Struthio camelus: one gene and its partner. The protein of the gene in region 1 purifies or fractionates together with the protein of each later gene. This does not show direct contact. Links are inferred from orthologs where the notes say so. Each region holds a gene or a part of one and is shown in the gene's direction. Other genes may lie near its edges.

Region 1 (7,358 bases):
CCAGGGAAGGAGACTCCACCACCTCTCTGGGGAACCTGTTCCAATGCTCTGTCACCCTCACAGTGAAGAAGTTTTTTCTCAGGTTCAGGTGGAACTTCCTGTGGTTCAGTTTCTGCCCGTTGCCTCTTGTCCTGTTGCTGGGCACCACGGAGAAGAGGCTGGCCTCATCCTCTTGACACTCCCCCTTCAGATACTGGTACACGTTGATGAGATCCCCTCTCAGTCTTCTCTTCTCCAGGCTGAACAGGCCCAGCTCTCGCAGTCTTTCTTCCTAGGAGAGGTGCTCCAGCCCTCTAATCATCTTGGTAGCCCTCCGCTGGACTCTCTCCAGCAGTGCCATGTCTCTCTTGTCCTGGGGAGCCCAGAACTGGACACAGTACTCCAGGTGAGGCCTCACCAGGGCTGAGCAGAGGCACAGGATCACTTCCCTCGACCTGCTGGCAACACTCTGCCTAATGCACCCCAGCATACCATTGGCCTTCTTGGCCACAAGGGCACACTGCTGGCTCATGTTTAACTTGTTGTCCACCAGCACTCCCAGGTCCTTCTCGGCAGAGCTACTTTCCAGCAGGTCAGCCCCCAGCCTGTCCTGGTGCCTGGAGTTATTCCTGCCTAGGTGCAGGACCTTGCACTTGCCTTTGTTGAACTTCAGGAGGTTCCTCTCCACCCAGCTCTCCAGCCTGTCCACGTCCCTCTGAATGGCAGCACAGTCTTCTGCTGTGTCAGCCACTCCTCCCAGTCTAGTATCATCAGCAAACTTGCTGAGGGTGCACTCTGTCCCAGGGTGCATCGCCACAAACGAGCCAGGAAACGGGCAGTTCGGAGGAGGACGCGTGCCATTGGCAGAAGGGAGTAGTGGGCCGCTGTCTGAAGGACATCACAAGCAGTCTGTGCCTCTTGCATTGGCTCCAGGGCAGGCCAGGAGCTGGGGAAGGTAGTAACCGTTGACCGTCGGTTATAACGAGCTCCATTAGAAGTGCAATCAGTCCCGTCTCTCCTTGCCACAATTAACAGTGGCGGATAACGCGGCACGCCTCTCGGCAGCCGCGCATAAAGCTGAGCGTTAAGCAGCGAGGACGACCGAAATCAGACCTGAGATTGCATCCGTGAAGAATAAATGAGGCTCACTCTTCAGCAGAAGCCAAGCAAACTGATGCTCAGGATCAAGTCTAAAATAATTTTAAGAGCTGTAAAAAAGGAGCCTTTGGGGCAGGTCTGAAAGAGGGCTTGTAATTCTGCCTCTCTTAACCATGCACTAGACGGAGAGAGGCATCGCATCCATGCCCCGCTCTCTCTCCCTAGCCAAACAGCAGCCTTAACTGCTCCTTCCTTTTCTTCGGCACGGGCCAGGCAACCCTTCGCACCAGCCCTTGACCCTCCCAAGCAGACCTGAAGCGGTCAGCGCTAGTGCTCAAATACCTGGCGTTTACTTAGCATCTGCTGCAGGTGCGACGAGACGCCGAACGCGGCACCGTGGAAAAAATTCGCCTGCCCGGCCCGTGGCGCGGGGACGCCGCAGAGCGCGGCTGCTGCGTGGAGGACCGCTTCCCTTTGCCCTTGCAGCTGCTGCCTCTCCTGCCGGGGACAGTATTTTCCACCAAGGCACTGAGGGCCAGTGACAAAGAAGGGGGTAAACAAAGCCCCGAGTGACGCCTGCCCGTTGGTGTGATCTCCAGCCCAGATAAGCCTGCCCCTAAATAGACTTGCCCTCCTCCCCTTCCGCAAGGCCAGCCCCTGAGATGTCCCCCACCGATTTCCGAACCAGTGCAACGTTCCAGCAAAAGGCCAGAAAAGGGGGAAAAAACCGCTGCCCTCGCTGTCGAATCACAGGCAGCACAAACCACTACTGAAGAATGACATTAAAATCCCATTAAAACAGCAGAAGCGTTCAGGAGCTCTGCACATACTGTGAAATATATATTTTTGGCACCTTTACTACTCTCTTTGGAAGCTGGAAGAGAAAACGGGATTCACCGGGATGCCTACAACACGAGCGATCGTATCTCTTGTCTCCAGTTTTACATGACGAATGAGCCTATCAAGTAAAACGCAGCGTCTACGAGACGCGAGGGAGAACAGCAGCTGCATGGTAACAAGAAACTAGAGTTTGTTCCAACCATCTAATCTCAGCAGCAGCAGCAGCTAAGAGCATTTAAGTCCTTCGGGCGAAGAGAAAACAGGCACCACGCACAAAAAACAGCAGTTCAAGTTCTCCTCCTGTCTTTTAACCAGAGAGACCTGATGGAGTTCGCTCCTAAAGGAGTAAGAAGATGCTGCCTTATGCCTTTCGGGAAGAAGACTGTGCTGCAGGACAGCTTGACAAAAGTCCATTTTAAAAGGTTCTTGCCCAAGGGTCTCCATTGAATGAGCGCGGTGTCGGCTGTAAACACCGCCTGGTGCCAACGGAGAGGAAACGGTCAAAGCTGTGATATCGTGCAAGGGTTACAGGACCTGAAAGTGAAACCAGCCTCTCTCTTTCCACCGTCAAAACAGAGCAAAGTGGAAACAAGCACAAAGCAACCCAGCTTACGACTTTCCGGGTCCGATCTTAAAAACAGCCTTGAGGCTTACAACTCATTTTCACTTGTTTCCTTTAATACACCAAAAGCTCTTTGCAAAAAGCCACAGCTGTTTCTGCAGAATATAATACCTCTCGCTAAATCGTTCTTCCCGGCGAGGCTAACCGAACGACGCAGCGGCCGTGGGCATCTCCCCGCTCGACAGCGATAACTGCACGGCGCCCCGGACAGGCTAAGACCACCGATAAATAGTATGAGAAGAGCCGTTTTGCGGCCGGTTGGCTTTCTACCGATGTTAGGCTTGATCTCAGGGGAGGAAAGAAAAAAGAGGAGGAGCCCTTTAGAAGGCCCATTATATGTTTAAAAAAAAAAAAAAAAAAAGCACAGCACGGAGATAACAAGATCGCGGTCAAACTAGCGGCCCTCTGACCTGCTTTAGCAACACAGCACGAGCAGCTAAAGCAAGACCGCGGCTTGGCAAACGCAACTATCTAGAGGATAACGGTTTTGCTCTACGCAGCGCCGCGACAAAAAAGAGCGCTCTGACTGCCGCTCCGATCGAGGTCGGCCAAATCCGCCCCGCAGCCAGCCCGCTTCGCGCCAACCACGCACAAGGCAGAAACTTCAGACGGGCACCGAGGCAACCCGCTCGCAACGCCGTCAGCGCTTTCCAGCTCCCGTCCTCTCAGGACGTTAAACCGCGAAAGAGGTTTCTGAAGGATTATCTCACGGCCGGGCGCAGAGCGCGCTCGGCGGAGGAGGGAACGCCACCAACACGACGCTCCCGAGGGCCGGCTAAGGGCAAACGGGGCGGCCAAAAAAACGCGCACGCTAAGGCGCGAACGCAGCGAAGGAGCGCGGTCTCCCTTCCAGGTGTTGCCACGCTTCCTAGGGTTGTTATTTGCCCAGAGAGACTTCTGCTCTCTCCTTGACAGCTCAGTGGCTGCTTCTCCCCGGCCCTTAGGGCGCAGCGAGGGCTGGCGGAGCGGCGGCCGAGCGCGGGGTTCGGAGCGGGAGCATCGCGCCGCGCTGGGGCCGCAAGGAAGGCAGGCGCTCCAGGAAAGCGAGAGCGGGGTTTCCTTCCCGGGGGTTATTCCGAGGAGAAACGCAAGCGTGAAAACGGCCTCGAAGCGTCCGAGGTCTCGGTGCCGCGACGTCTGGCCCGCCGCGGGGTGTATTTTGCCAAGGGTTATATGTTATAACTCGGAAATCCCGCGTCCCCTCGGGGTTCCCCGCCCCAAAAACCCGCCCGGATCTCCGCGCTGGGAAGCATCCGCGGCTCGGCAGCAGGAGGAGGAGGAGGAGGAGGGGGAGGAAGGCTCCGCCGCGCACACGCAGCCCCGCAGCGCTCTCCGCGGCCCAGGCCCCGCCGCCCCTCCCCGCCGTCCCCCACCTTTTCCTCGGGCTCCGGCGGCGGCGCCGCGCCGGGCTGGCGGCCGAGCCGCTGCCGCAGCTCGCTCATGCCGGCGCCGGGCTCCGCTCCGCGCCGCTCCGCGCCCGACTCCCCCCCGCCGCCGCCGCCGCCGCTGCTGCCGCCGCCGCCGCTGCCGCTACCGCCGCTGCTGCCGCCGCTGCGCCCGGCCGCGGCCGCCAGGGGGCGGGCGAGCGCAAGGCGCGCTCAGCCAATCGCCGCCGCGGGACGGCCCGCCCGCCCGAGGGGTGGGTGGGTGTGGCTTCTAGGCCCCGCCCATCACCCTCCCTCCTCCTCGGCTCCGCCCAGGTGTACCCGGATGTGCGCGCCGCTCCGCCGCGCGCCGCCATGATGGGTGGTGCCCGGTGACGGCAGACGGACCCTGGCGCCTCGCGTTCTATGTGCGTGTGTGTGTAACGCGCGCGTTGATTGGCTCTCGCCGGGGCAGCGGGACTAAGGGGAGGAGCGGCGCCGGGATTAGCCGGAGTCGGGGTGGGGGGAAGGGGGCGGGGCAGCGCGTGACGTGAGCGTGGATCGGGCCTCGCTGCAGGGAGCGCGGGTCGCGATTGGCGCCGCCCCGGAGGTGGGCGGGGCGGGGGGGCAGGGTATAAAAGCGGCGTTTGGCGGGCTGCGGCCTTTGGCGGCCGCTTACCTTTTCTGTTTGTGCGTGCGGGCGGGCCTCGTCGGTCGCTGCCGCTGCGAGGATGTTCGAGGCGCGGCTGGTGCAGGGCTCGGTGCTCAAGCGGGTGCTGGAGGCACTCAAGGACCTCATCACCGAGGCCTGCTGGGACCTGGGCTCGGGCGGCATCAGCCTGCAGAGCATGGACTCCTCGCACGTCTCCCTGGTGCAGCTCACGCTGCGCTCCGAGGGCTTCGACACCTACCGCTGCGACCGCAACATCGCCATGGGCGTCAACCTCGCCAGGTAGCGGCGGCCGCGGCCTGTCGGAGACTGGGGACGGGCTCGGCGCTGAGGGGAGCAGCCGTTAGGGCCCGTTGGTGGGGGCGGGGGGGCGGGGGGGCTCGGCGCTGAGGGGAGCAGCCGTTAGGGCCCGTTGGTGGGGGCGGGGGGGCGGGCTCGGCGCTGAGGGGAGCAGCCGTTAGGGCCCGTTGGTGGGGGCGGGGGGGCGGGCTCGGCGCTGAGGGGAGCAGCCGTTAGGGCCCGTTGGTGGGGGCGGGGGGGCGGGCTCGGCGCTGAGGGGAGCAGCCGCCGCCCCTCCCCCATTCTCCACAGAACGCTGGCGCCGTTTTTCGCCGCGCGCGCGGGGCCTGGCGGCGGCGGTGACGTCACTGCCGGCGCGCCGTGGCGGGAAAGCCGGGCGGGGAAGGGGCCTGGCAGGGCCCTGCCCGCCATGGCGTCTCCCCGGGTGGCCCTGCGTCCCCTCCGTCCCAAGAGACAGGGAGGCAGCGGGGGACAAGCCTGAGCTCGGCTCTTGTTAGCCGTCAGGGTGGCTGGAAGCGGGGGGGGGGGGGTCTGGCCTCCCAGGCCGAGGTGCGCAGCAGCATGTGCTGCCTTCCTGGCACTTGGCTGTCATCTAAAGGGTTCACTGCCCTTCTGAACTTGTGGGGTGTGCTGCAGGTGCTAAAGGTGAGGGTTTTGTGCCCGCAGAAGGGAGTAAAGGACTGCATAGAAATCATAATACAGGATTGTGTCAGGTGTTGCACTGGAGGCTAGTGGTTGTTTCTTAGACGACTTTTAACACTATAGAGTAGTGAGCCCATATTTTTGCCCTATCAGGCTGGGACCTTTTACGATCTAGTTTTCGTTCCCCTAGCATGTCAAAAATACTGAAATGTGCTGGAAACGAAGACATAATAACACTCAGAGCAGAAGACAATGCAGACACACTGGCTCTAGTGTTTGAAGCACCAAGTAAGTGTTATGTTTAGTAAATAATTTGCTCCTGTGATGTTTTTAGGTGATCTTCCTAAGTATGTGGTGATCTTCCTGTGTCTGGGTGGTGGGGCCAAGAAGAAATACTTCAGAAGCTGGAAGGCTCTCAAAAATGGGACTAAACAAGATGGATCCCGTTATCCTAACTGAGGTGTTTTTACTCCGGAAAAAATTTTGGGTAGAACTTAAATTGAGGATGATGGCTTTTTTAAACACTTTGTCGGACTAAGCTTTGTTTGTTTTAGATCAGGAAAAAGTGTCTGACTATGAGATGAAGCTAATGGATCTGGATGTGGAGCAACTTGGAATTCCAGTAAGTAGCGACAACTGAAGTGTAGTGACTACATCAAGCTTCTTGGTAGAAGTTTAATTGTGACACTTCCTTTGCAGGAGCAAGAATACAGTTGTGTAGTGAAGATGCCTTCTGCTGAGTTTGCACGCATCTGCAGAGATCTCAGCCACATTGGAGATGCAGTTGTCATCTCTTGTGCCAAAGATGGTGTGAAGTTTTCAGCTAATGGAGAGCTAGGAAATGGGAACATCAAACTGTCACAGACCAGTAATGTGGATAAAGAGGAAGAAGCTGTAAGTTGTGTTGATGGCTAGCTGTTGTTCTCAGGGTTAAGGTTTCTGCTAGTAACTTACTCTCTATGGTAGTGTCATAGGCCACCTACAGGTAGATAAAGATGGGTTGTTTTTCTCCACTTTGTAGAAGCGAGTCAACAAATCACTGCCAACTTTGGCCCCTTAGCCCTGGGGTCTGCCGTGCAGTGCTAAGCAGAACAGAGTGGGGAATAGTGCTGGCTGTTCTCTGCCTTTGCCTGAGGTGTCTAGGTCTGTGACACTGATTTATTTGACAAACTTGGGGGAGCTTGTGGCTTGTGTTAATTGAACTCTAACCTGGCTGATGTTCTCCTAGGTTACAATAGAGATGAATGAGCCTGTCCAATTAACCTTTGCTTTGAGGTATTTGAACTTTTTTACCAAAGCCACTCCACTGTCACCTACAGTCACACTCAGCATGTCTGCAGATGTTCCTCTTGGTAAGTAGAAGCAGCTCTTCTGGGAAGTAACCCTGTAGAGCACTGTCCTCTTAGAACTATGTTAAGAGGGCTTGATTGGCTTTTTCTGAACTATTTTCTGAATATTTTTTCCAGTTGTGGAGTACAAGATTGCTGACATGGGACACTTAAAATACTATCTGGCTCCAAAGATTGAAGATCAACAAGAAGGTTCTTAATTGGGCTGGGAGATCTGCTCAGCTCTTTGGAGAAGACAACTGACTTTGTGAAGGAAATTGTCCGCACAGTTCAGCAGTTTCAGTACATTGGACCGTCAAATGAGCACTGTTAGGCCTGTTTTGTAGATACTTTTGTAAATATTTTTCAGCTTACTGTTTTGCTATACTGGTGTCATTCAAAATAGGAATTTTTGCTCTTCTAGATTATTCCTGTTCCTCCAATAGTCTTTATATGCTGTCTTTAGTTAAAGTCTTCTACTCCTTTTGATTTGTGTTAGAGAAGGAGTGCAATAT
Region 2 (7,282 bases), on another chromosome or scaffold:
GTATAATTGGTGTAATCTTTTGAAATCTCAATTTAGACCTTCTTCCTAGCATATCTGATGTTCAGAGTAGCCCAAATTTATAACTCAGCTACCTCCCCACTTAAAACAGCTTCCCTCCCCACAAAAATGCTAGACAGTTTTTTTCATTAGATGAATAAAGTTCCTTATATCTGAAACCATCACAGCAGATCTCAAATTAATCTGAAGCAAAAAGCTAAGTTTTTCAGTGCAGAAAAATCAGTCTAGTTAAGTGTTCTGTAAAGCACTGTGCAAATTTACAACATACAGTGGAATTTCTTACAGAAAAATGTAATTTCTTTTTCCAGTGAAAGCAGGCAATACATGAAAATAAATGCTGGCAAAATGAAAATCAATCAGAAAGGCTAACGGAGAATCAAAATCTTATTAAGCATTATAAAGTAATGTTATTTTACTATTATATTTAATACAAATATTTGAGGACTGAAAGTGATATTGTTTTACATCTCAGCGTTAAAACTTAAAATATCCTTGGTAAGTTAGTGGCTGCTGCAACACTGCGTAAGAATAAAGCTTACCTCTGCCTCTTGTCATCATGATGACAAGAGATTAAATTCTAAATAGTAACTGTCCTGCATTTTTATTCAATCAGAGAGAGATGGAGATTTTTTCACAGACCTGCATTTAATGTGCTTTAATCTCTCTCCAGAGCAAAGAGAACCACTCATGGAAAATAAGGTGATGCTGCAGGAAATACCAAAACAATCCCACGTCAAGTTTACATGTTTTGATTTTTCAGTTAGAACAGGGTCGGGGGGAAGGTAATCTTATCTACATCCGTTCTACCGCTTGTTCTATGTCCTACTCAAGAGTTGGTTCCTAAGTCAAATCCAGAGGGTTACATACAAATGTTAATTTCGAGCCCCTATCTTACATCCTTGTGCAGCATTTTTCAAATAGCTGTATTTATGAGAAGATCAGGTTTGGGCTTTAAGTACACCTCCCGTTTCTTTAATTACACAGACGCAATAGCTACCATATCTAACCCCATTTGAAAGTGTGATGGGATTACAAACAGTCACCTTTACTAGGTTACGTAAAAGATTAGAAGACACTTTTAGGCACCCCTGAAATTTTGCCAGCTTTTAGTAATGAGCAACAAAATGACTCAGCTACTCCACCTGCAACACTGCCAGGAAATTCTGTTCTAAGCAAGCCAAAGCACTTTTACCTTTATCAGAGTACTGGTGCTCTAAGGCATGGAGATCAGGCAGTAAGTGCAAACAATTGATGCAGCAGTAAGTAAAAAAATCCAACACCACCACTTTTCCACAAAGGTCTTTGTGAAGAGAAATAGGACTTTCAGTGTTTAGCCACTGTAAATCTGGAATTCAGAGAAAAGAGGTATCCAAATTAGGGAGGAGGGGTAGGCAAAGGCATTCCTTTATACTTAACTTCCACAAAAACAGACAACATTCCTAGTACAGTTCACTTCAAAAATGTTCTGTATCACTTTCTGTCCGGATAGGAAGGCAAACCAAAAGTCTTACATTTATCAAACTCACCTTTATGCTCCACATTTTTCATAATTAGCAAATAAAATGTATTAATTATTAAGTAATATTAAGAAAAATTATTAAGTTAACAGGATTTCATGTAATATTGAAAGTGCAGATTATATATTTAAATAGGTGCCTTTTAACGGAAAGCACATGCAGGCCTTAGAACAATTTTCATCTATTGTAAAGCATGATCTAGATTATCCAACCCCTAAGAAGATCATATGGGTAATACTTATTTATTTTGAATTCAACAAGTACATGCTTGTAAGCAGATAAAAACCTGCTAAACTCTTAGAGTTTACATTTTTGTAAAGAAGTAATATCGGAGACTACTGAAATATTTCTGTATTTATCGTTTTGATATTGAGTTTGAGAAGTTTGAAACGATAGGTATAAATTAATGACGTTATATGCTGATTTCCAAGAACTAAAACTCTTTCAGATATACCTGAAATACTATACTACTTCTGCTCATTTATTTTCAAACACTCGATAAGAGACATTAAGGCAGTGTTTTCTCATTTTATGCACGTACACACAAAGAGGCAACTAATAATCCTCTGATCCCATAGGAAACTGATATCAAGGTAGGAAATAAAAAACCTACAATATGTTTGGCCCTTATTATCACCGAACATTTCTTAAAATAATGGGAAAAATACAAATTTTTAAAGGACTACTTTTAAAAAAATGTACACGCGTGCTTTGATAACCTAAAAATATCCAAAAATTCCACAGTTTCAGCAAACTATGTTTTTATTTCCCACATCCCCAGAACAAGTTACTGCTACTCAAGTCAGCAGGAGGATTGTTTTCTGCTTCACTAAGAGAAGGGCTACTCACTACTTACACACATATAAACATAAATGGATGAACACACAGTCATTGTTTTGGCGACAATAATAAGACTTAGTAAACCCTTAGTAAAACCCTGCCTGTACACTGAGGAAATCATGCATAAACTTCATAAATGTTTCCTTTTTAAAAGAGTATGTTATTTATTTATTTAATGGTACTGCTCCCTTTTTCACTAAAGCATCTTATATCAAAATATGCTGTAAATGAAAAATGTTTACTATTTATTTGAGCTGCTTTTCAGAAGAGAACATTAGCTTTGAAAGACTATAAAAGGTGAAATGACACTAATCACAAAAGTGAAAGTTCAATTCAGGAATCCAAATGCAGAGAGAAAGAGTATTCACTTTACTTGATGGGTTAGAAATCAGAATTCAGTCCCATGATACGTATGTGATTTTAACCCTGACATTTATCTTTTTAGGTCTTCATCTTGCAAACTCCTTTCATGAGCTCTCATAGTTCCAGAGTGTCTCATGAGGTGACCAGGACTCCGAGCAGGACTTACAAGATCTTACAAGACTTAACCCTTGATTCATGCTGAGTGTAAAAAGAGATATAGAAATGTGTGAAATGTGCGAAAGGGAAATGGACACACCACTGAATGAGCATGAAACCTCCTGCATAGTTTGTATTTTCAGAAACATGAAAATTGACAAGTGCAGGTAAGTCACGGGGAGAGAGCTGGGAAACAAGGGGCTGCAGTGAAACCAACAGAGCTCAAGAGGAAGCTGACAGAACGAGTAAGGCGAGACCACTGACTGGCCGAGGGCAGATATCCATATATTGCAGAGAAATGTTTTATTAAGAACAGTTAAATACTGAAGCTACGTATCAGAAGTTTAGGAGAGAAATTTTAAAGAATATATTTTTACAAACACTAACAAAGCGTTTACAGAGGAATTCTTTGCACTTGTCTTTTCCTGATGATACTTTCTGGAGTCATATTTCTCGCAGCTAAGACGAATACTTTCTTTTTCGGAAAAAAAAAAAAAAAGACAGTTAGCGAGGCCTTAAACTAACGGGGCTGTAATTACACACCCCCTCGGGCAGCAGGGCTTCAAGGAAGACACCACACCCCGGAGGGCGGGAGCCAGGGCTCGGCCCCGCGGGAGGGGGGCCCAGCTGCCGCCGCCCGCGGCCCCGAGCAGCTCCGCTCCGCTCCGCTCCCTTGGGGGGGAGGCCGGCCTGACCCGCTCGGGCCCCGCCACCCACCTCTGCCGAGCTCGGGCAACGCTAGGTCCCGCTCCCGGCTGTCCATCTTCTTCAGGTACTGGTAGACCAAGTTCTCCTTCTCCTGGGGGGTGTCGGCGTCCAGCAAGGCGTACTCCAGCTGGGTCTGGGCGGGCAGGAGCGCCGCCAGGCCCCCCGCCGCCGCCATGGCGCCTCCTGGGCCAGCCCGGCCGCGCCGGGGCAGGGCCGCTGTTTACTGGCCTGCCTTTTCCCCTTCCCATATTCGACAGCTCCCGCGGGCGACACGAGAAAAACGAAGGCGCAATTGAAAAAAAAAATCCCCTAAGTACAAACACGAAAAAAATCGTGTGTTTTAAAGAGAGGCCGCTTCTAATTAAATTTGTGTTTTTTCATAGCTCTGATATTCTCGGTAGCATATTCGTGAAGAAAATCCCTAGTGGTGATTTCAGCTCAGCAGATTCAGCACAGCCTTTTTTCCCGCCTAGTGACTTATTTATTTTTAAGTGGAATAAACCTGAAAACTGGGGGGGCTAGGGACACAGTCCCAGCACGGCTCCTTTAATTAAACGGAGTTTTCCTTTTTTCTTTTGGAAGCTACGGAAGACCCGGAAAGTTGAGAGGCGGCCGCAAGTGACGAAGCTGCGGCGGCGAATGCAGCGGCGGCGGCGGGGTCTGCGAGGCGCGGGGCCCGGCAGCAGCGGCGGCGGCGGCGGCACCTCCCGGCCGCGCTGCGCCCGTGTCGGCCTTCGGCGTGTGGTGCCTCCTGGCAGCGGCTCCGGAGCTGAAATCTGGGTTGTTTTCTTTCAAAAACCTCCTCGCCTCGGGCCAGCGAGGTGGCAGCCGGGGCGCGGGCGCAGCTGGGCTTTTCACTTAGCGAGGCCGGGTTAGGTGCTTGCAAGTGGAATAACTGAAGGAAATGGCGCGCTCTGCAAGTACTTCTGCATCTTACAGCCTCGGGTTTCGTTTAGCCGCTGTGGTTACGACTATTCAGAGAGACACTCCTTAAATTATTTTTAGGGTAGGAGCCACCATGCTTCTATCTCCCCAGGGGCTGCTGTTTGGTTTGTGGCCCGGTCTTTTTTTTTTTAAATGGAGTTCAAGTGCTTTTCTTCAGCTAGTGGAGGGGGGGGGAGAGAGAAAACTTATTAACAGAAGGAAAACTAGACTAGTGAACTGCTGCTTAAGAGCAAGGAAAATATTTCGTGTGTTGCCATGTCTGAAGATGCTTTATTGGAAGAGGACATTTGGGAGTACAAATCCATTAGGAAACAAAAGTTGGTGCATCAGGTTAATTCGGAGAGCATCTCTACACCCGTGCAGAAAATAAGTAATGACAAGTGCAAGCCAAAAAGAAAGGGAAATGGAAATAAAAGAAAATCAGTGGAAAAAAGTGATACTGTTAAGAAAAGCAAGCAGAAATCAAGACCAGATCAGGATCTAGATCAAAGTAGAGACGATACTATCGTGCAGTCCCAGGAAAGTGTTAGTAGCCCGACAGAGCAAAGCTCAGAAAATGCAAAGCTGGTTCGTGATGGATACTGTCCAAGCTGTCAGATGCCTTTCTCTTTACTGTTAGTCCAGACACCTCGGTGGCATGTTGCTGAATGTTTGGATACTCCAGGATCTATGGAAAAAGGTATGAGTAGCGTAAGAAAAAGAGTCTTTAAAAAAAAGATGTTAAAGACACGTGACATAATGTTACTGTAAACTCTGGTTTTCATATTTAGTTCAAAATCTGAGATGACAGTTGGTATGACTTTTAGAATGTTGTTACTGATAATTTATCAACATTGTATTCATATCAGAATTTGGATTCTTTATAAAGAACATTGAACTGATACAAAAATAATAATCTAATAATGTTATCTCAAAACTTTGTGTAGTATTGATAAAGATTCATGGTTGTTCTTCAAACTCCCCTTTCATGGGCTGTAATTAAGAAATAGAAGGCATTCAGCGTAGTGCGTATTTACCTTTTAAAAAAAATGGACCTGGTCTACTTTTTTTGAGGAGAAACGTCTTTACAGGGAGGGTGACTGAGCACTGGAAGAGTTTGCCCAGAGAGGTTGTGGAATCTCCTTCTCTGGAGATATTCAAAAGCTGTCTGGACACAGTCCTGGGTAATGTGTGCTAGCTACCTTGCTTGAGCAGGGGGGGTTGAACTAGATGATCTCCAGAGGTGCCTTCCAACCTCAACCATTCTGTGATTCTGTGGCCTGTTTCAGTTATTCAGTCAAGATTCAGAAGAAGCCTCCTTTGGTTAAGAGACTGCTACTTTGGACACAGAACTTATTTCTCCTTATTTGTGAATTCTGTTATTGCATACCTACATTGCTGTGTGATTTGTCCAGTTGCCTATGGACAGTTGCAAGCTGAAATCAGTCTGTTGGGCTAACGTACTTGAAACGTTAGCCCTTGGTTCAGTATATTTTAGAAGTTTTGTGCAGAAGTATACGTGAACATTCCTATGTTTGTGCCCGTGATACTTGTCTGCCACGTGAAGGCATGACCATAGAATGTTACACGTTTTTTGAGCTCACAGGAGAAATAAACACTGAACTGTTCCGATTGCTAGTTTTATGTTAGGCAATGCCATGTATTTACACGTATCTGGACAGGTCCAGGTATCCAACTTACGTTGTTAATACACCTCATACCTTTTGAAAAACAGCATACAGTCAAAAAACTTGAAGTAAAGGCTGCTGTTTTAATTAATACGATCCTTTTCATATCTATCTGACTTTTCCTGAGGCTTCGCCTTCAGAACAATGAAATGTGAGTTCTTAATCCTGAGTTTGCTGGTGGCCTTGACTTAAGGCAGATGTTAACATCTCATTTTCATCTCCTACTCCCGTATGAAAGCGGGAGTGAAAAATCTGTCTGATTGATTTCTTCTGGGCATTCACCTTTAAATTCTCAAAAATTAAGCCAGCAAACTATCAACAAAAAAGTCTTAAGGAACAACATTGAACTGTTCTTGGCATCTGAATCCTGAATGCTTTTTGTACAGAAGTAATTACTTTTTAAATCTTATTTTATGTATTTAATGTGTAACCCAACAGACAACTTTGAAATGGAATTGCAAGTTGATTCAGAACGTAGATTTGGTTTATTTTGACATTTGCAGTGCTACTGCTCTGAGCTCATTGCTTGCACATGAGGTTGCTCTCAACTAGAGGCTGTATAACTATGCTAGCACACTGGAACAAGCTAACATACCCTTCTTGTTAGATGGGTGTGTTAGTTCACACTTAGTGTTTTGTTTACACAGACAACACTGTTGGAAGCAGTCTTACTTCTAGCCACCTTAGGGCAGGAGCTCTTAGCTTATTGCAAATTATTTTGTAGATGTGCCTTCTATCCTCTAATGACTGCATGTATAAGAAAAAGTTTTAAATGAAACGTCGTATATAATTTTTATTTTAATATCTATGCCAAGTGAATATCTTTGCAACGGTATTAACAGTGCTTCTCTGCTTAACTTTTCACAGAGTGTCCTGATGGCTTGCTGTGCACTTCCACCATTCCATCCCACTACAAGCGCTATACCCATTTTCTACTTGCAGCAAGCAGGGCAGGAGATTATCTTGTAAACTCTTCAATATATACTTCAGAGAGGAAGATCGCATGTTCTACTGCTGCAGAGTCCAGCTGTTTCCCAACTCTTGTGAAGGCAGTCTCACAGAATGAGA

The links. Proteins that work in one complex are often made in the same cells at the same time.
Region 2: the proteins of PCNA (region 1) and DCLRE1A purify together in Homo sapiens (affinity purification with western blotting; 3 studies listed by BioGRID and IntAct, with this or other methods). This does not show direct contact. The link is inferred for Struthio camelus from reciprocal best matches to the Homo sapiens genes PCNA and DCLRE1A.

What each region holds. Positions count from the first base shown.
Region 1 is NC_090968.1:2,625,706-2,633,063, reverse strand, and holds the start of PCNA (proliferating cell nuclear antigen), read left to right. Parts: upstream 1-4,280; 5' UTR 4,281-4,634; coding exon 4,635-4,855; intron 4,856-5,705; coding exon 5,706-5,803; intron 5,804-6,069; coding exon 6,070-6,137; intron 6,138-6,214; coding exon 6,215-6,409; intron 6,410-6,743; coding exon 6,744-6,867; intron 6,868-6,981; coding exon 6,982-7,064; 3' UTR 7,065-7,358. Other genes in the region: CDS2 (phosphatidate cytidylyltransferase 2), read right to left, coding at 3,913-3,981. UniProt on the Homo sapiens protein: Auxiliary protein of DNA polymerase delta and epsilon, is involved in the control of eukaryotic DNA replication by increasing the polymerase's processibility during elongation of the leading strand.
Region 2 is NC_090948.1:10,463,516-10,470,797, forward strand, and holds the start of DCLRE1A (DNA cross-link repair 1A protein), read left to right. Parts: upstream 1-4,184; 5' UTR 4,185-4,802; coding exon 4,803-5,226; intron 5,227-7,081; coding exon 7,082-7,282. Other genes in the region: NHLRC2 (NHL repeat-containing protein 2), read right to left, coding at 1,211-1,363, 3,612-3,777. UniProt on the Homo sapiens protein: May be required for DNA interstrand cross-link repair. Also required for checkpoint mediated cell cycle arrest in early prophase in response to mitotic spindle poisons.